Linked DNA regions of Saccharomyces cerevisiae S288C. The gene in region 1 interacts genetically with each later gene. Each region holds a gene or a part of one and is shown in the gene's direction. Other genes may lie near its edges.

Region 1 (7,246 bases):
TTAGAAATGAAATTTGGTGTTATTATTGATGCGAAAGGCCCAGATCGTGTAAATCCACCAGTTTCTTCACAATGTGTTTTCACTGAGCTTGATGCCCATCTAACGCCTAATATTGATGCATCTTTGTTCAAAGAGTTGAGCAAATATATTCGTGGTATTAGCGAAGTCACTGAAAATACAGGTAAATTCAGTATTATTGAATCCCAGACAAGAGATTCCGTCTATAGAGTCGGACTATCCACGCAAAGACCAAGGTTTTTGAGAATGAGTACAGATATTAAGACTGGGAGGGTAGGACAATTTATAGAGAAAAGACATGTAGCCCAACTACTATTATATTCACCAAAAGATAGTTACGACGTTAAAATCTCCCTAAACTTGGAATTACCTGTACCTGACAACGATCCGCCAGAAAAATATAAATCTCAAAGCCCAATTAGTGAAAGGACGAAAGACCGTGTTAGTTACATTCATAATGATTCCTGTACCAGAATTGATATTACAAAAGTCGAAAATCATAACCAAAATTCAAAAAGTAGACAATCAGAGACCACTCACGAAGTGGAACTAGAAATCAACACGCCTGCACTGTTAAACGCCTTTGATAACATAACGAACGATAGTAAAGAATATGCATCTCTTATTAGAACGTTTCTGAATAATGGTACAATTATTAGAAGAAAGTTATCGTCTTTATCATATGAAATTTTTGAAGGTTCAAAGAAAGTCATGTAATATTTGAATCATTTCAAAAAAAAATAAGCAAATGCCCTTGAGCGAGAAATTTTTTTTGTTTACTCAAATGCTGTTATGAAAGCTTATGTAATAATAATAATAATGATAATAATAACATAAAAATAATTACTCTAACATTTCTTATTATCTCTATATATCCCTAATAAATAGGCCATTCTTATAATAACCAAGTCTTTCGCCATTTTGATACTATCAATAGCTAAAGCCATCTTAGAGCCATCAACCTCATGCCAGGAAATTGGTATCTCCTCAATTTGGATTCTTTTTCTGATGGCTAAGATCAAAATTTCAACGTCAAAGATCCAACCCTCTGTATGCAAATACGGAAAAATTTTCAATATAGCGGCTCTGTTGAACAATTTGAATCCACATTGTGTGTCTTTGATAGACCTGATGCCGAAGATGAAAACTAAGGTATGGAAACCGTACATCAAGCAGTTTCTTATCATTGATCTCTTTATGACGGCTTCGGTATTTACCATATGTGCTCTGGAACCAATTGCTACTGCTGGTTTAGTCGTTTTTAGATCTGTACTAGACGTTTCAATTTTGCTAATAGCATCTATTAGTTTTTCTACATCACTGAACTTACTAGCACCATCAGCATCGGCAAAAAGACCATACTTACCTCTAATATGTAAAAAACCTTGTCTCACTGCGCCACCTTTGCCTCTGTTTTGAGAAAACTTGATGATTCTGAATTGTTCGTAGTTCAATTTGAACTGTTCTTTACAAATTTTCAAACAGTATTGTGTGGTATTATCTGTGGAACCATCATCCACTATGACAATCTCCCATCTGGAACCATATTTTTCCTTTAAAAAGCTGATTGCGTCTGTCAACATTAGTAAAATTCTACCTGTCTCATTATAGCTTGGGATAACAACAGATAAAAATATTTCTTCGTCATCTTGGTGTTCATTCAAGTTAGGTAAGGCACGACTAACTTCATGACCTTTTTCATCAATAGCTATGTATTTGAGCTCCTCTGGATATGGCGGCCTTGGTGTATGCGAAAATAAATAGACCAATAAATACAGTGAAAGCACCAAGGCTACTAAGAGCGTAAAAAAGACAGTGTTTCTGTTCTCAATCAGGAATCTCAACGCTCTCATTTTTGTTGTGCTTTGTGTAATTTTTGGCTGCCTCTCTGTTTTTGTCCCTTTCTTACGTTATCAAAAGCACCTAATCTATCCTTACAGCATCCAATTAGATACCACTACCTTTCCACAGTGACTATGGTCCTTTGTGCCACTTTAATTGCGATAAAGCCTTGAAAATTGGCACGTTTTCTTCTTGTTTACACTTTTTTTCGAATACGCCAAATTTCGCTTTCTCATGAAAAAAATGGCATACACTGCTTCGAAAGATACAACAGAGCCATGTGCATTAATATATATAAATTAAAAGGTACTGAAGTGATAACGGTGAAAATAGGATAACTATGTACACTTGACTTTGGACTTGTTAGTTGTGACTAGTATAGAAGTTACAAGATCAAATGGAATAAACCCAAACACCACATCTAATTTTTCAATGGAAAAAGAAAAGTTTCAAGGTGGAAAAAAAATTTTCAGCAGCATCGCAATAAATGTTAAAAAATAATAATATATTGCAACCTATTTAAGATAATACATATGCGTCGATCTATAGTGCATAATTTATATCTTGTAAACTGTAAATACAACGACAATCAGTGCTAATTCAACTCAGGATGCCTCCAAAGAAGTTTAAGGATCTAAACTCTTTCCTTGACGACCAACCAAAGGACCCAAATCTAGTCGCTTCTCCCTTCGGTGGTTATTTTAAAAACCCTGCTGCTGATGCCGGTAGTAATAACGCTTCCAAAAAAAGTAGCTACCAACAACAGCGTAATTGGAAACAGGGGGGCAACTACCAACAAGGTGGTTACCAATCGTATAACAGTAATTACAACAATTACAACAACTACAACAACTACAACAATTATAACAACTACAATAACTATAATAAATACAATGGCCAGGGCTATCAAAAATCTACTTACAAACAATCGGCTGTGACGCCCAACCAAAGTGGAACTCCAACTCCATCTGCTTCTACTACATCTTTGACCTCTTTGAATGAAAAGCTGTCGAACTTAGAGTTAACACCCATCTCTCAATTTTTGTCAAAGATACCTGAATGTCAAAGTATCACTGATTGCAAAAATCAAATCAAACTAATCATTGAAGAATTTGGCAAAGAAGGTAACAGTACGGGTGAGAAAATTGAAGAGTGGAAAATCGTCGATGTTCTATCTAAATTCATCAAACCTAAGAATCCATCATTAGTTAGAGAATCTGCCATGCTAATAATTTCCAACATTGCTCAATTTTTCAGTGGAAAGCCACCACAGGAAGCATACTTGCTACCATTCTTCAATGTCGCACTTGACTGTATTTCAGATAAAGAGAATACAGTCAAACGTGCCGCGCAACATGCCATTGATTCTTTGTTGAATTGCTTTCCAATGGAGGCTTTAACCTGTTTTGTACTGCCTACGATTTTGGATTACTTATCATCTGGTGCCAAATGGCAAGCTAAAATGGCCGCTCTAAGCGTTGTAGATAGAATAAGAGAAGATTCGGCGAACGATTTATTGGAACTTACTTTCAAAGATGCAGTTCCAGTTTTAACCGATGTAGCAACTGATTTCAAACCTGAATTGGCCAAACAAGGTTACAAAACTTTATTGGACTACGTTTCTATTTTGGATAACTTAGATTTGTCTCCTCGTTATAAATTGATCGTGGACACCCTGCAAGATCCATCTAAGGTTCCTGAATCTGTAAAATCGTTATCCAGTGTTACATTTGTCGCTGAAGTTACGGAACCTTCACTATCTTTGTTAGTTCCTATTCTAAACAGATCTTTAAACCTATCGTCATCATCTCAAGAGCAATTAAGACAAACCGTTATTGTCGTGGAGAATTTGACAAGATTGGTGAATAATCGTAATGAAATTGAAAGCTTCATCCCTCTACTACTACCCGGTATCCAAAAGGTTGTTGATACTGCGTCCTTACCTGAAGTTCGTGAATTGGCTGAAAAGGCCCTTAACGTTCTAAAAGAAGATGACGAAGCTGATAAGGAAAACAAATTCTCAGGCAGACTGACTTTAGAAGAAGGTAGGGATTTCTTACTTGATCACCTCAAGGACATTAAAGCTGATGATTCCTGTTTTGTCAAGCCTTACATGAATGACGAAACTGTTATCAAGTATATGAGCAAGATTTTGACCGTGGATTCTAATGTGAACGACTGGAAAAGACTTGAAGATTTTTTGACCGCCGTTTTTGGTGGTTCAGATTCACAAAGAGAATTTGTCAAACAAGACTTTATCCATAACTTGAGAGCTTTATTCTACCAAGAAAAGGAAAGGGCAGATGAGGACGAAGGTATTGAGATTGTCAACACTGATTTCTCCTTAGCTTATGGTTCAAGAATGCTTTTGAACAAAACAAATCTTCGTCTCCTAAAGGGTCATCGTTACGGTTTGTGTGGTAGAAATGGTGCTGGTAAGTCTACTTTAATGAGAGCAATTGCTAATGGTCAATTGGATGGTTTTCCTGACAAGGATACATTACGCACCTGTTTCGTCGAACATAAATTGCAAGGTGAAGAAGGTGATTTAGACTTGGTTTCCTTCATTGCTTTAGATGAAGAACTGCAATCTACTTCTCGTGAGGAAATTGCAGCCGCTTTAGAATCTGTCGGTTTTGATGAAGAGAGAAGAGCACAAACTGTTGGATCTTTATCTGGTGGTTGGAAAATGAAGTTGGAATTGGCAAGAGCTATGTTACAAAAAGCTGATATTTTATTGCTGGATGAACCTACCAATCATTTAGATGTTTCGAACGTTAAATGGTTAGAAGAATACTTACTGGAACATACTGATATTACTTCATTGATTGTTTCGCATGACTCTGGTTTCTTAGATACAGTCTGTACTGACATCATCCATTATGAAAACAAGAAATTGGCTTACTACAAAGGTAACTTGGCAGCATTTGTTGAGCAGAAACCTGAAGCTAAATCTTACTATACCTTAACAGATTCTAATGCTCAAATGCGTTTCCCACCCCCAGGTATTTTAACAGGTGTTAAGTCTAACACTAGAGCCGTCGCTAAAATGACTGATGTAACTTTCTCTTATCCAGGTGCCCAAAAGCCTTCCTTAAGCCATGTCTCCTGTTCATTGTCTCTGTCTTCTCGTGTGGCTTGTTTAGGTCCTAACGGTGCTGGTAAATCCACTTTGATCAAGCTATTAACTGGTGAATTGGTTCCAAATGAAGGTAAAGTGGAAAAACATCCAAATTTACGTATTGGTTATATTGCTCAGCATGCATTGCAACACGTCAATGAACATAAGGAAAAGACGGCAAACCAATATTTGCAATGGCGTTATCAATTCGGTGACGACCGTGAAGTCTTATTGAAGGAATCCAGAAAAATATCCGAAGATGAAAAGGAAATGATGACAAAGGAAATCGACATTGATGACGGTAGAGGTAAGAGAGCCATTGAAGCTATTGTAGGTAGACAAAAGTTGAAAAAATCTTTCCAATATGAGGTCAAATGGAAATACTGGAAACCAAAATACAACTCCTGGGTTCCAAAAGATGTTTTGGTCGAGCATGGCTTTGAAAAATTGGTTCAAAAATTCGACGATCACGAAGCCTCCAGAGAAGGGTTGGGTTACCGTGAATTAATTCCTTCAGTTATCACCAAACATTTTGAAGACGTTGGTCTTGATTCTGAAATTGCTAACCATACTCCATTAGGTTCTTTATCTGGTGGTCAATTAGTTAAAGTCGTTATTGCCGGTGCTATGTGGAACAACCCTCATTTACTTGTTTTGGATGAACCTACCAACTATTTGGACAGAGACTCTCTTGGTGCTTTGGCCGTTGCTATTCGTGACTGGAGTGGTGGTGTCGTTATGATTTCGCATAATAACGAATTTGTTGGTGCTTTATGTCCTGAACAATGGATTGTGGAGAACGGTAAAATGGTTCAAAAGGGCTCTGCACAAGTTGACCAATCCAAATTCGAAGATGGTGGTAATGCTGATGCCGTTGGTCTAAAGGCCTCCAACTTGGCCAAGCCATCTGTAGATGACGATGATTCTCCAGCTAACATCAAGGTCAAGCAAAGAAAGAAGAGATTGACAAGAAATGAAAAGAAGCTGCAAGCCGAACGTCGTCGTCTACGTTACATTGAGTGGTTGTCATCGCCAAAAGGTACACCAAAACCAGTTGATACTGACGATGAAGAAGATTGAAAGCCTACTGGCTAGTGTTTTATCTTCGCTAACTTCGTTTGTTTCACTCCATCTTTTTTCTTTAATTCACTCCTCAAATGGAGTTTACTACGTTGATAGAATTTAGGACAAGCATATGACGCTCTCCTTCCTTTTTTGTTTTCTAGGTTAATTCATTTTTCATACAGAGTAGTTAATATTGGTTCTTTTCATATATGTACGGTACGCAGATTAATTATGTAAACTTAAACTTAAGGGATCCTTTTTGATGCTAACAATTGTCGATGTTGAACTACAAATTTATGTAAGAGGTCGTTGTTAAGGATTATTATTTTAAAAATACACGAAGATTGATTATTATTTCTTACATGAGGTTATGAATCGTGCTCCAAAAGTATACCAAAAATAACTCCTGAACTGCTAGGCACAGTTTGCGATAATTTAAAGGGGTTAAATACACTTTTACTACTGGCTTTCACCTTATAAATCCCTCATTAAACTAAAGATGAATGAACATTGTTGAAGAAATTGTCCGGGTAAGAGGTTGTACTAGGGAGTGATGAACATCCATAAATTCTTCGACTAGCAGAAGTAATGATAATTTTCACCCGTTAAAGCTACATCTGGTTAGATGGACTAGAAGAACCACGACGAAACAATCATATAACAATGTCTACTTTTAATGCAGAAACCGCTGATAACTTGGAAGATATCGAGAAACAATTCGCTGTTGTTGCTGTTGAACAAGCGGAAACATATTGGAAACTATTAACAAGTGTTCCCGGTTCCAAGTTACGTTTGACTAAGTTTGATGACGAAATATACGAGAATTTTATGGAGAGATTCCCAGAATACAAAGATGTTGAAAGGGTCAAAAAGTTTACGGAGGAAGAATTAAAAACAAAAGAAGCCAAGGAAAGATGGAGAAAGTTCTTCACAATTTTTGAGAAAAAAATCGAAGACTATAACTTTGGTACTTTGTTGAGGACAGACGCTTCAGCCGAGTATGGTCAATTTACTACTTGTTTTGTCGTGAGACTACAATTTTACGCTTTTGAAATTGCTAGAAATAAACACGGCTTGAACGATTGGATTGTCGGTCAGAAATGAACATGCATATATATTTGTGATTGATTATATAGAATACATTACTTTATACAAAGGAACAACACAAGGCATTCTTCCTTGTTCAACATATATATATAT
Region 2 (4,687 bases), 560 kb from region 1:
TGTCTCAATTGTCGTTTCAGTATTACCTTTAGAGCCGCTAGACGATGGTTGAGCTATTTGTTGAGGGAAAACTAAGTTCATGTAACACACGCATAACCCGATTAAACTCATGAATAGCTTGATTGCAGGAGGCTGGTCCATTGGAGATGGTGCCTTATTTTCCTTATAGGCAACGATGATGTCTTCGTCGGTGTTCAGGTAGTAGTGTACACTCTGAATCAGGGAGAACCAGGCAATGAACTTGTTCCTCAAGAAAATAGCGGCCATAGGCATGGATTGGTTAACCACACCAGATATGCTTGGTGTGGCAGAATATAGTCCTTTTGGTGGCGCAATTTTCTTGTACCTGTGGTAGAAAGGGAGCGGTTGAACTGTTAGTATATATTGGCAATATCAGCAAATTTGAAAGAAAATTGTCGGTGAAAAACATACGAAACACAAAGGTCGGGCCTTGCAACGTTATTCAAAGTCATTGTTTAGTTGAGGAGGTAGCAGCGGAGTATATGTATTCCTTTTTTTTGCCTATGGATGTTGTACCATGCCCATTCTGCTCAAGCTTTTGTTAAAATTATTTTTCAGTATTTTTTCTTCCATGTTGCGCGTTACGAGAACAGAAGCGACAGATAACCGCAATCATACAACTAGCGCTACTGCGGGGTGTAAAAAGCACAAGAACTAAGCCAAGATCACAACAGTTATCGATAAAATAGCAGTGTTTGCATGGCCATTGAGAAGGACAACATTGGCGTGCGCGCCAATGTTGTCTCACCATGTAGCTCCAAACGAGTTGTAAGAGACGGACCGCTCACGCTTCCGAAGCGGTCAGAAAACGCTTCCCAGTATGCAGTTGACCTACATTCAACCTGCAAATATTGCTTTGCTTCAAGAAATGATTACACAGACGTCTATTTTCTTCTACATAATGCACGAAACTTGGGCATTTAGTCATGTAGCCGCCTAGCGAGCCTGGGTGCCGTCCTATCTCCTTTGTTCGTGCAAAGAGACAGGAACACACACTGCGTTCTCTTGCGGCCGGTCTGGCGGACTCAGGGGTGCGGCGTTTGCTTAACCGGAGGGAATAATAAAATCGGGGTGACGCAAGTATGAAGTCATGTGTGCTTAGCAATTACGTAGAGGGATTAGAAATAATAGTGTGCGGTTATCGGAACCGGCTCTTGTTCCCGTTTAGAGCAACCCAGGTGCAGGCGTACTTTAAAGTATTTTCTTTCTTTTTTTTCCTGCTACTTACGCTAGGAGCTGCCGCAGCTGCAAAGCCGACGTCGGAGAGGCAGGTGATCTTCGGCTCGGCCGACAAATCCCCTGGATATCATTGGCCTGTCGAGGTATCGGCCGCGTGGAACTACCGGGAATTACTATGCAAAACAATTGGAAATCTGGTAGGAAAACCTTGTTCTAGAACTTGGCGATTGCTGACAAAGAAGAAAAGGGCCTATTGTTGCTGCCTCTTTTGTTGTTCTTCCTCGTATTGTCTTGCCGGTGTTCTTTGTGTCTTTTGTGTGTAGGTTCTTACTATTATAGTGCTCTTTGCTATTATATTTTCTTCGTTTTCACTTTGCGTAATGTAACGGTCTTAAACAAAGTTTTTTTTTTTTCGCTCTTGCATTTTCCTTTTCTGCTCTATCTTATTTGCTAATTGTAGTTTCAGAAGTTTTACTTAAATATAGCACTATTTTCCAGTTTTAATGTTTCTTCTCATTGCTTTCTTTTATAATTTTCGCATATAATTATACATTTACGGTGTCTTAACTCTCCCTCTTCACCCCTCATTATTCCAGAAAATACTAATACTTCTTCACACAAAAGAACGCAGTTAGACAATCAACAATGAATCCTAAATCCTCTACACCTAAGATTCCAAGACCCAAGAACGCATTTATTCTGTTCAGACAGCACTACCACAGGATCTTAATAGACGAATGGACCGCTCAAGGTGTGGAAATACCCCATAATTCAAACATTTCTAAAATTATTGGTACGAAGTGGAAGGGCTTACAACCGGAAGATAAGGCACACTGGGAAAATCTAGCGGAGAAGGAGAAACTAGAACATGAAAGGAAGTATCCTGAATACAAATACAAGCCGGTAAGAAAGTCTAAGAAGAAGCAACTACTTTTGAAGGAAATCGAGCAACAGCAGCAGCAACAACAGAAAGAACAGCAGCAGCAGAAACAGTCACAACCGCAATTACAACAGCCCTTTAACAACAATATAGTTCTTATGAAAAGAGCACATTCTCTTTCACCATCTTCCTCGGTGTCAAGCTCGAACAGCTATCAGTTCCAATTGAACAATGATCTTAAGAGGTTGCCTATTCCTTCTGTTAATACTTCTAACTATATGGTCTCCAGATCTTTAAGTGGACTACCTTTGACGCATGATAAGACGGCAAGAGACCTACCACAGCTGTCATCTCAACTAAATTCTATTCCATATTACTCAGCTCCACACGACCCTTCAACGAGACATCATTACCTCAACGTCGCTCAAGCTCAACCAAGGGCTAACTCGACCCCTCAATTGCCCTTTATTTCATCCATTATCAACAACAGCAGTCAAACACCGGTAACTACAACTACCACATCCACAACAACTGCGACATCTTCTCCTGGGAAATTCTCCTCTTCTCCGAACTCCTCTGTACTGGAGAACAACAGATTAAACAGTATCAACAATTCAAATCAATATTTACCTCCCCCTCTATTACCTTCTCTGCAAGATTTTCAACTGGATCAGTACCAGCAGCTAAAGCAGATGGGACCAACTTATATTGTCAAACCACTGTCTCACACCAGGAACAATCTATTGTCCACAACTACCCCTACGCATCATCACATTCCTCATATACCAAACCAAAACATTCCTCTACATCAAATTATAAACTCAAGCAACACTGAGGTCACCGCTAAAACTAGCCTAGTTTCTCCGAAATGATTTTTTTTTTCCATTTCTTCTTTCCGTTATATTATATTATACTATATTCCCTTTAACTAAAAATTTATGCATTTGGCTCCTGTTTAATAAAAGTTTAAATCGCCTCAAAAGAACAATTGAAAAATATGTAAAATAACAGCAAATAAAAGTCAAAATTAAAACAAAGTACCCAGAGACAAAAAAGAAAGAAAAGAAAAAAGAAACAGTCTACAAATTCTATTTGAATATATAAAATTATATTCTCAATTTTCACGTATATATTCACCTCACAAATAATATCATTCCTTTAAAAAAAAATATGTATTATTGTATAATGTTTCAGCATAGTCGTTTTTTAAGCCCTTTTTTTTAAACTTAAAAAACAAATCAATGAGATATTGTATACCTATATTATCGATAATAAAGCGACGAGGATGGACTGCAAGATATTGGTGTTAGGCGCAGGTGGTCTAGGATGCGAAATCCTGAAGAATTTGACAATGTTAAGCTTTGTTAAACAGGTTCATATTGTAGATATAGACACAATCGAGCTAACCAACCTTAATAGACAATTTCTTTTTTGTGATAAGGACATAGGCAAACCGAAAGCTCAAGTGGCAGCCCAGTATGTAAACACGCGGTTCCCTCAATTGGAAGTTGTGGCGCACGTACAGGACCTGACCACTTTGCCCCCGAGCTTTTACAAAGACTTCCAGTTCATAATCTCGGGGCTGGACGCCATTGAACCTCGTCGCTTCATCAATGAGACTCTCGTGAAGCTTACCTTGGAGTCCAATTATGAAATTTGCATCCCGTTCATAGATGGTGGAACAGAGGGGCTCAAGGGACATGTAAAAACAATCATTCCAGGCATCACTGCATGCTGGGAGTGCTCCATTGATACCTTGCCCTCGCAGCAGGATACTGTGCCAATGTGTACAATCGCCAACAATCCTCGCTGCATTGAGCATGTTGTGGAGTATGTCTCAACTATACAATACCCTGATTTAAATATTGAGTCTACGGCGGATATGGAATTTCTGCTGGAGAAGTGCTGCGAAAGGGCTGCCCAATTTAGCATCTCAACAGAAAAATTATCAACAAGTTTTATCCTGGGTATAATAAAGAGTATCATACCTAGTGTAAGCACTACGAATGCGATGGTTGCAGCGACATGCTGTACGCAGATGGTTAAGATTTATAATGATTTAATCGACCTGGAAAACGGCAATAATTTCACTTTGATTAACTGCTCAGAAGGGTGTTTTATGTACAGTTTCAAGTTCGAGCGGTTACCCGACTGTACTGTTTGTTCAAATTCCAATTCCAACTAGTATTACTAATGAATAATACCATCCGCCGGTGTCACTTGTTTAAACATCTTGCAAGTAAGTCGAGATCCTAGAGAGCCTTGTACATGTGATTGCACAGTAAAGAAGGTATGCAGGCTAAATTATTGTTTACCAGACTAAACTTTAGACGTCCCTCCACAACTTTACGCCAGTTTCCCCTAACATGTTTTTTATTTCATAGCAAAGCATTTTACTCGGATCTGGTCACTAAGGAGCCGTTGATCACACCGAAAAGAATAATAAATAAGACGCCTGGGTTAAACTTATCTATTTCTGAGAGGGCTTCCAACAGACTAGCTGAGATCTACCGCAATAGTAAGGAAAATTTAAGAATTAGTGTGGAAAGTGGTGGATGTCACGGTTTCCAGTACAATCTAACTCTAGAACCCGCTACCAAGCCAGAT
Region 3 (3,898 bases), on another chromosome or scaffold:
TTGATTTGGTGAAGACCCGATTACAAAGTGATATATTTTTGAAAGCATACAAATCACAAGCTGTTAATATCAGTAAAGGATCTACTCGTCCAAAGAGTATTAATTATGTCATTCAAGCAGGAACCCATTTCAAGGAAACACTGGGAATCATAGGCAATGTGTACAAACAAGAGGGTTTTAGAAGCTTGTTTAAGGGTTTGGGCCCCAATTTAGTCGGGGTTATTCCAGCAAGAAGTATTAATTTTTTTACCTATGGAACTACTAAAGATATGTATGCTAAAGCGTTCAATAATGGCCAAGAAACACCTATGATTCATCTGATGGCTGCTGCAACCGCAGGTTGGGCAACGGCGACGGCAACCAATCCTATTTGGTTGATTAAAACAAGAGTACAGCTTGATAAAGCTGGGAAAACATCGGTCCGACAGTACAAGAACTCTTGGGATTGCTTAAAAAGTGTTATAAGAAATGAGGGTTTCACTGGCTTGTACAAAGGGTTGAGTGCCTCTTATTTGGGTTCTGTTGAAGGTATACTTCAATGGCTATTATATGAACAAATGAAGAGGTTAATAAAGGAAAGGTCTATTGAGAAATTTGGATATCAAGCCGAAGGTACAAAAAGCACATCAGAGAAAGTCAAGGAGTGGTGTCAAAGATCAGGAAGCGCTGGTCTTGCAAAATTTGTGGCTAGTATAGCAACATATCCGCACGAAGTTGTCAGGACGAGATTGAGACAAACGCCCAAGGAAAATGGTAAACGAAAGTATACAGGTTTAGTACAAAGTTTCAAAGTTATAATTAAAGAAGAGGGACTCTTTTCAATGTATAGTGGGTTGACCCCGCATTTGATGAGAACAGTTCCGAACAGTATAATTATGTTTGGTACATGGGAAATTGTTATAAGGCTACTATCGTAGCCTTGAAATCTAAAAAACTCTAAATTCACTTTAGGGCCAAGACATACTCTAACAAAAAAGTATGAAAAAAGTGCATTTTGTAAGGATATAAAGCCTGTCAAAGTTTATAGAAAGCTAACCTACTAAGGTTTGGACCCCTTCGTTTCTTCTCCTTTACTTTGCATTATTTATCGTAACATATCAATGATCCTTATTTACTTCATTCAGTAAATTGGTCCTTTTATACTTGTAAATATTTTTACCAGGTCACTAGTAACAATAAAATGTTTTAAAATATCAGTAGCGTGAAGTAAAATTCAATTACTAGATGATGTTGAAGTAGATCCCGTAATAATGGGCTTTTCCCCTGTGAAGGTGAACTTTAGAACATCATCCACATTGAAAGGTTTCGAAGGTTTGCTATCTCGTACTAGAAGTGAAGCGTGTTCTTCGCTTAGGGATTCTTCATTTTTGAAATCGTGCTTTCCATATTCGTTTCTAAACGTAGTGCGCGCCCAATTCGTTATTTCTCTGTCCTGTTGCAGCAGCTTTTCTATTTCTTCATCCTTTAGCAAGGCTGTAGTTACTCCAGATGTTTCCCTAACATATTTCATCCATTCGTCCACTTCAGGAATATTCTTCTTCCTCAAAAGGGTAGTGACCAAACTTTCATGAGAGGTGGTTGGGAATTTAGGCAAAGGGTAAACCACTGTAGAGTCTAAAGTTTCTTGGAAATGTTGTAGAGTGGAGGTTACAGAAACGAGCTGGGATAATGTGACATTCAGTTGTGATTGGAGTGTATACCATTGTGGCAGTTCGGCTTTGGACATTTCGTCTCTGATTCTCCTCAATGAATGAGTTAATTGAGCCAAACGCATGCGCACGGCATCTAAAGCCTGGCCAGGTACACCATTGAAATCAAAACTAACATCTTCTTGGAGGGAGCCTTGATTGCCCTCTGGTACCAGTGATGCAGTAGATTGTGACATATTCCACGTTGCTTTATGTTTTTCTTTTGTTCTTCTTGCTCGGGGTTCTCTTATATCGATGAAATATTTCAATATTAAAATCCTTAACTTTGACGAAAAGGCAATTTTTGTATATTGAGTTTCCTTACTTTTTTGAACAGAACGTACTTTTAGACACTTTGCAAAGGCCTTCAGCAAATTTTTTTGATTATTTTCAAATATCAAGGAAATATATTACCTTCAAAGTCATCCAATCCTTTTAGTTCTCGCATTCCATCATTTTATACTATATACGTTTGAGCTTAATGGATCAAAAGAAGGACCCAAGTAATAACTTAACAGAAAGAAGGGTTTCCAAGGTCCAACGCCCAAATAAGAAAAAGGTACGAAATCAAGTTGAATCACTTTCTAGAAACCTAGAGAGAAATAAAGAGGGACAGCTTCTGCAGACTGTATCAAAAGGTCATTTAGAAGCTGATTCTGGACACTCACTGGGTCGTGAAAAAGAGAACGGTGAACTCGGTATAAGAAGTATATTTTACGATAAAGACTGGAATCCAAGAGGCACTGCACCATCACATTACAGAAATATACCTTATAATCCTGCCACTTTCAAAAGGCGAACTGAAGTTCAAGCCAGACTGGGAAACCTCGAGAATATCAAAATACCAAAGTGAAAGTTCAAAGGTAATAAATGAGCAACCACTTTCTTCGAAATACAATATTGAAATCAGCATGAAGTCTGAGCGTAGTGTTTATTGTAGCAAGTCTTGAGCATATTTTATAAACTCTATTTATGTTTGTATATTCGTCTATCAAATGGTTGAATATGTAATAGGGACAGGAGCCATTAGCATGCCTGGCTTCAAGGAACGTTTAGGTCACGAATGTCCAACAAGGTTTCCTGCAGGTTTCCATATGTGAACTGAATTATCATTTGCCACACTGCACATTAACCAAGGGTCATGAGCGTCCCACGAAATGTCGTTCACACCGAGCATATGACCACCATGGGTAAATATAGTTTCTTCGCAGGAGGTATCCCATAGCTTGACTAACCCATCTTCTTGGCCAGCCGTTGCCAATACAGTATCGAAATTTGGACTCCATTCTAAAGTTGAAACGGAAGTACCGTGCTCCATGGTAGCGATTGGGCTTTTGTTCATGTTTCTAATATCCCATAAATTTAGCCTCCCATTTGAATCTGCAGATGCTAGAATTAAAGAGTTCTTATAGTTAAATCTACAGGAGTTTACTCCACCATCGTGTTTTTCACGGTTACTCTGGAGCTTCTCTTTCTTAGTCCTCAGATCTAATAGGGAGACCGCATTTCCTTCAGTACAAGCAGCAAAGAGGGAATCGTGTGTTGGCATCCAAGTTACATCATTCACCGCTGTTCCGTCGCTGTTTATTGACACTAAGGGTAAATCTATTATAGGGTTCTCATGCGAATATTGTTTAATGTCCCAAACTTGAACTTGGCCGTTGGAGTGAGAAGAAAGTAAAAGGGCCTCCTGCTGCAAGTTCCAGGCTAAAGAAGTCGCCTCATTTATATCTGCCGAAGAAGTATCCATTGCCTCCACGTCTTGAATAACACCATGTGAACCAAACAGCTTTGTCTCAAAGGGATGTGAAATTTTGGACTGTCTTATTCTAGTAGAGCCGTGTTTTGTTCTATCGAATATGTAGATTGCACCATCTGAAGAGGCGCCGGCTATAATATCTGGATTTTGAGGCAAATATCTTGCCCTATTGCATTCCCCGTTTGGGAAGAAAATACTGATGTCATTTACTAAGTGTTTGGAGGGAAACCTTGTCGAGTTCTCCGGTTTGAATTCCATTTCGTCCATGTCGAAATTATTTAAAGATGACCATTTTATATGACCCAACGTGGATATTTTGCTAATATATATGGTCTCATCTTCAGGTTTTTGGGAAGATGTAAATGAGGATAACAAGATGCGATGCTCATCCGAAGTGGTATCTAAATCAGGAAAGAACTGGCACGTTAAGGACGGCCACTTTGTTGAATTC
Region 4 (4,934 bases), on another chromosome or scaffold:
TATGTTTAGAAGTTAGTAGCGGGGATCAAATTTCGACTTTCATTGCCTCATCCATGGTCATCTCAAAAATTTTCTCTTCAATTTTTTGGTAAATACCAAGTGCAATGAATGTTTGGGTGTCTTTGAATATTGAATATTACAGACTAAAAATATTATATATTGTAAATTAAAAGTTGATTATTAGTAAATGTACCTGAAATTTCTGTTTTCGATATCAGTCAAGTCCAAAAATTGGTACTTCTTCCTTTCTTGACCTTCTTGTTCCTTATCACGCTTTTCGTTCTCCTTCTTGCAAATGTAGCCAATGTATAATTGTAGGGGAACACAAACACACTGAGTGACCAATAAGGCAATCTTTGCTGGTATGTAACGTGGAGCAGAGTATGCCCTAAACATCTGTGGAGCAATAATACAGGAGACATTGTATACAATCATTGTAATAGCATTTCTAAAAACTCTTTTGGTGTAACCGGAGGTGTTGCATGAATTCCAGATGTAAATATTGGTAATGACACAGGAACCACTGTAAAGCAAGTACAGAGAAAATAAGTTACCGATCTTATGGGATAAGGGTAAACTGATAAGAACGATACAACCTATAATAGCTGGAATATACATAGATGTGGTTATGAGTGTGATATGACCCCAGCGGGACAACATTTGAGTTGTTATAAGAATAATCATAGCCGTAATGGCACCAATAGGCAACTGCAGTAATGCTGTTTCGTACTTGTCGAAACCAAAAGTACCAGTGATGGTCACTGAAAATGTACCAATGGCACCAGTAGAAATTTGAGAACATGCAGTTAATAAAAGCATCGGCCAAGTAAACTTATCATGAAGGAATAGTTCTTTAACTTGCTGCTTCTTAAACTTCTTTGTTTCCAGGCCAGTTTGGTTAGCTCTGATATGCTCAACAACTTGAATTTTTTCCTCTTTGTTTAGGAACCAAGCATTGGTGACGTTATCTGGAAGGTATAAGAATGTTAGAACACCAAACGCAACTGTAACCAGACCAACGACCAAAAACATTATTTGCCAAGAGGTGAAAGCGGTACCATGATAATGTAAAAAGCCAAAAGAAATTAACCCGCCCACAATATAACCTGTACCAGCCTGTGTGGCCCAGAATCCAATTCTTGCACTCTGTTCAGATTTAGTATAGTACATACCACTAATAGCGATACAACCAACTGCACTCGAGGATTCAAAGAGACCTAGGAGAGTACGAACGACCATCAACGAGGCGTACGTCTTACAAGCAGCATGGCAAGCCAACACGATACCCCAGACGGTAATAAAAGTACCTAGGATTTTGGAAATGGGGAATTTTTGAATTAAGTAAGTGACCACAGGTTCCATGAAAATGTAAGCAGCAGAAAAGATAGTACCCAAATTAGAAAATTCGTTACCTTTCAAATGATCTTTGATACCCATAGATGCAGCGTAGTTCAGCAGAGCCTTATCCAAAAACATCAGAAGATATGTACAGCATAAAAAGGGCAGGATGAAGAGGTCAACTTTTCTCAGGACCTTAGGAGATAATTCATGGGAACCATAGAAGTTGGCTTCTTCGCCTGCTACAACATCGTCTTCATTAGCCGTGGAGCTTTCGTCGAGACCGTTCTGTTTCAGGAATCTTAAAGCAACGTCCGCATCGTCTACATTAATGCTCGAGGTACTTACGGAACAACTATCAGCGTTAGCTGCCTTCTTCTCCACGTCCATGGATCGTTGTGACATGTTTTTCATTGTATTGATTTGCTGACACTCTCACTACTTCTCAGCAACAACAAAGTAAACTTTAATCTATCATACTTTGAACTATCTTATATACGTGTATATATGCACCCGCTGAGATGCTCATCGAGATTGCTCATCACCTCTGAAAAGGCTGTCTGTCACCACCATGTTTTCCGCCGGACCAAATGACAGTTCCTTAAGGGAAACTCAAAGAGACTATATTAACTAAGGAGGATCAACCAGATATGCAAAAAAAACAAATAGTTATGACGGCACTCGAACCAACCAAACACCACCCTATAATTAATGTTGATAATGATAGCGACTCGAAATTTGCCAATAAAACCTGTCTATTACGCGTCATCTACTTGAGAGTAATATACTGGAAGTTCGAGATACTCCGCACAGGGTCTGGGTGGTAGGTTTCTTTGCTATTGTATAGTTTTTCAAGATACGTAAAAGGTCTTCATCTTATCTTATATAGATGCAGGTGATTACTAGTGGGGCAAGTCGGCAGCTAATTGCGTGTGTGCGGAAGGATTGTGCAGTAGAATGGCTCCTGTAGTTATTTCAGAATCTGAAGAGGATGAGGATAGAGTTGCCATTACTAGAAGAACTAAGAGACAAGTTCATTTTGATGGCGAGGGAGATGATCGTGTAGACCAACAGCAACAGCAGCACAGTTCAAGCCACAGGGATAGGGATAAACATGTGCAGCGTAAGAAGAAGAAAAGGCTCTCGAATAGAAACCTGCAAGGTTCAAATGGTGGGTACGCTTGGGAGGATGAGATCAAGAGAAGTTGGGATTTGGTGAAAGTGGACGATGAAGGGGATATGGCATCTCTTGTGGCTAGCATAGTCGAGGCCAGAAAGAAACGTACTGCTAAGAAAAACATAACGCCATACCAAAGAGGTATTATCAGAAGTTTAATATTAACACTAGATTGTAGTGAAGCTATGTTGGAAAAGGATTTGAGACCAAACAGGCATGCCATGATTATCCAGTACGCCATAGATTTTGTCCATGAATTTTTCGACCAAAATCCGATATCTCAAATGGGTATTATCATAATGAGAAACGGTTTGGCACAACTGGTCAGCCAAGTTAGCGGAAACCCGCAGGATCACATTGATGCGTTGAAATCCATCAGGAAACAAGAACCGAAAGGAAACCCTTCATTGCAAAATGCATTGGAAATGGCAAGAGGCCTTTTATTGCCTGTTCCTGCGCATTGTACAAGGGAAGTACTGATTGTATTTGGTAGTCTTTCCACAACTGATCCTGGAGATATTCACCAAACTATCGATTCGTTAGTTTCTGAGAAAATTAGAGTGAAGGTTTTGGGGTTATCAGCTCAAGTGGCCATATGTAAAGAATTATGCAAGGCAACGAATTATGGTGATGAATCCTTCTATAAAATTTTACTCGATGAAACTCACTTAAAGGAGCTATTTAACGAGGCTGTTACCCCTTTACCCGTTAACAAAATTAATAAGGGTTTCACACTCGTAAAGATGGGGTTTCCGACAAGGATATTCGAAGATACTCCAACTTTTTGTTCGTGCCATTCCAAGTTAGTTTACGGCGGATACTTCTGTCCCAATTGTCATAGTAAAGTTTGTTCATTGCCCACAGTCTGTCCATGTTGTGACTTGATGCTAATCCTTTCTACCCACCTGGCCAGATCATATCACCATCTGATGCCGTTAAAAACATTTGCAGAAGTACCTACAACAGAAAAATTTCGATCAGAAGACTGCTTTAGTTGCCAGTCAAGATTTCCCATACTGAAAAACCATAAAAATGGTAAACTACTGACAAGTTCTCGCTATCGTTGTGAAGATTGTAAACAAGAATTTTGTGTTGACTGCGATGTGTTCATCCATGAAATCCTTCATAACTGCCCAGGCTGTGAATCCAAGCCCGTAATAACTTAACGAAAATCTGTCAGCGTATAACACGATCACTCTTCCATCATATAACAAATCCAAGTAGTAGAGAACGAAATAGTTTTTGATGGACATATAACTACATAATTATTACAAAAATAACCTCATTTAATGTCCTATTGTTTATTACGAGAAAATCTTAATAGCACTTACGGCATTAAGAATATTTATTACTATTTTCAATTTATCAGGCACTTATTCAACTAAAAAAAAAAAAAAAATTCTTTGTTTTACAATAATATTAATAATTATTTTGAATAAATATCGTTACATTCTATCATAATGTCCTCTACACGGTACAACCAAACTCACAATTCTATTTGAGTGGGCGAGAGGTTTGAATTTTTTCTTACTGGGCTGTGTGTAGGGGTCATAGATGTCGCTTGTTTGAATGAGTGAGGGTTGGAAGGTGCAATAGGTTTCTGTGGAGATTTAACCAAAACACTGTCGGTCATCCGGCTTTCTCCCTGCTTCCAGCTGTCAAAATCAATCAAGGCTTGCATACATCCCCACTCTGTAATTTTCTTACTAAGCCAGTGTAAATTCACTGGTTTAGTCAGGTAGTCGTTACAACCAGAAAGAAGTGCTTTTCTTTTATCCATCTGAGAGTTAGATGCGGTCAATGCTACAATAATCACGGGCGCCTGAGAGAATCTCTTTGAAGTACCTTTTTCAAGATTGGAGTGTGAGTTATTGAGACTTTTTTGAATGCCAATGCCATTTTGTTTTTCGAAGTCCCTAATCTGCTTGGCAGCTTCTATACCAGACAAGACAGGCAGCTGTAAATCCATAAATATTAAATGAAGACCGCCTTCCTTCCAAATATTAACAGCTTCTTGACCATTTTTAGCCAGTTTATATGAGATTTTGTGTTTCCTCAGAAAGGAACCTAAGATAGCTTGGTTGATGACGTTGTCTTCAACTATTAAAACATTAATTTTGGGGAAAACTTTTTCACTTGTGGTGGTAAAAAGGTTTGGTAAAGGATCTGGTGGAGAGGAAACAGCAAAAGGTGCGTTATAAAGCGAGTTTGAGTAATGCGGCGTTTGACTACTTGTTAATATTGGTGATGCGGGCGTAACGTCTTCTTTTCTTCTTTGTACTTCCGACATGGGTTGCGTTATGCCTATACCAGCTTCATTAAGTGATCCGCTTTCTTGCGAAGGGGATCCGGTGTTCACTTCTAACTCTGAATGAGTAATTGTGTCTTCATTATTGAAAGATGAATCCGTGTGGGCCAC

The links.
Region 2: mutations in NEW1 (region 1) and ROX1 together harm fitness more than expected from each alone (negative genetic interaction), as found in Saccharomyces cerevisiae (3 studies listed by BioGRID).
Region 3: mutations in NEW1 (region 1) and AIM4 together harm fitness more than expected from each alone (negative genetic interaction), as found in Saccharomyces cerevisiae (2 studies listed by BioGRID).
Region 4: mutations in NEW1 (region 1) and SSL1 together harm fitness more than expected from each alone (negative genetic interaction), as found in Saccharomyces cerevisiae (2 studies listed by BioGRID).

What each region holds. Positions count from the first base shown.
Region 1 is NC_001148.4:119,297-126,542, forward strand, and holds NEW1 (New1p), read left to right. Parts: upstream 1-2,470; coding exon 2,471-6,061; downstream 6,062-7,246. Other genes in the region: CET1 (polynucleotide 5'-phosphatase), read left to right, coding at 1-735; ALG5 (dolichyl-phosphate beta-glucosyltransferase), read right to left, coding at 867-1,871; ribosome-associated Tef1p biogenesis chaperone CHP1, read left to right, coding at 6,710-7,150.
Region 2 is NC_001148.4:677,848-682,534, forward strand, and holds ROX1 (Rox1p), read left to right. Parts: upstream 1-1,845; coding exon 1,846-2,952; downstream 2,953-4,687. Other genes in the region: YPR063C (uncharacterized protein), read right to left, coding at 1-346, 433-473; YPR064W (uncharacterized protein), read left to right, coding at 1,104-1,523; NEDD8-activating protein UBA3, read left to right, coding at 3,366-4,265; ISA2 (Isa2p), read left to right, coding at 4,373-4,687. UniProt on the Saccharomyces cerevisiae protein: Transcription factor that represses the expression of HEM13, COX5B, ANB1, CYC7 or AAC3 (hypoxic function). Binds to the DNA sequence 5'-RRRTAACAAGAG-3'.
Region 3 is NC_001134.8:607,869-611,766, forward strand, and holds AIM4 (Aim4p), read left to right. Parts: upstream 1-2,169; coding exon 2,170-2,541; downstream 2,542-3,898. Other genes in the region: RIM2 (Rim2p), read left to right, coding at 1-917; RNA polymerase II mediator complex subunit MED8, read right to left, coding at 1,214-1,885; MSI1 (Msi1p), read right to left, coding at 2,746-3,898.
Region 4 is NC_001144.5:157,754-162,687, forward strand, and holds SSL1 (TFIIH/NER complex subunit SSL1), read left to right. Parts: upstream 1-2,295; coding exon 2,296-3,681; downstream 3,682-4,934. Other genes in the region: THI73 (Thi73p), read right to left, coding at 181-1,752; mitogen-activated protein kinase kinase kinase SSK1, read right to left, coding at 4,002-4,934. UniProt on the Saccharomyces cerevisiae protein: Component of the general transcription and DNA repair factor IIH (TFIIH) core complex, which is involved in general and transcription-coupled nucleotide excision repair (NER) of damaged DNA and, when complexed to TFIIK, in RNA transcription by RNA polymerase II.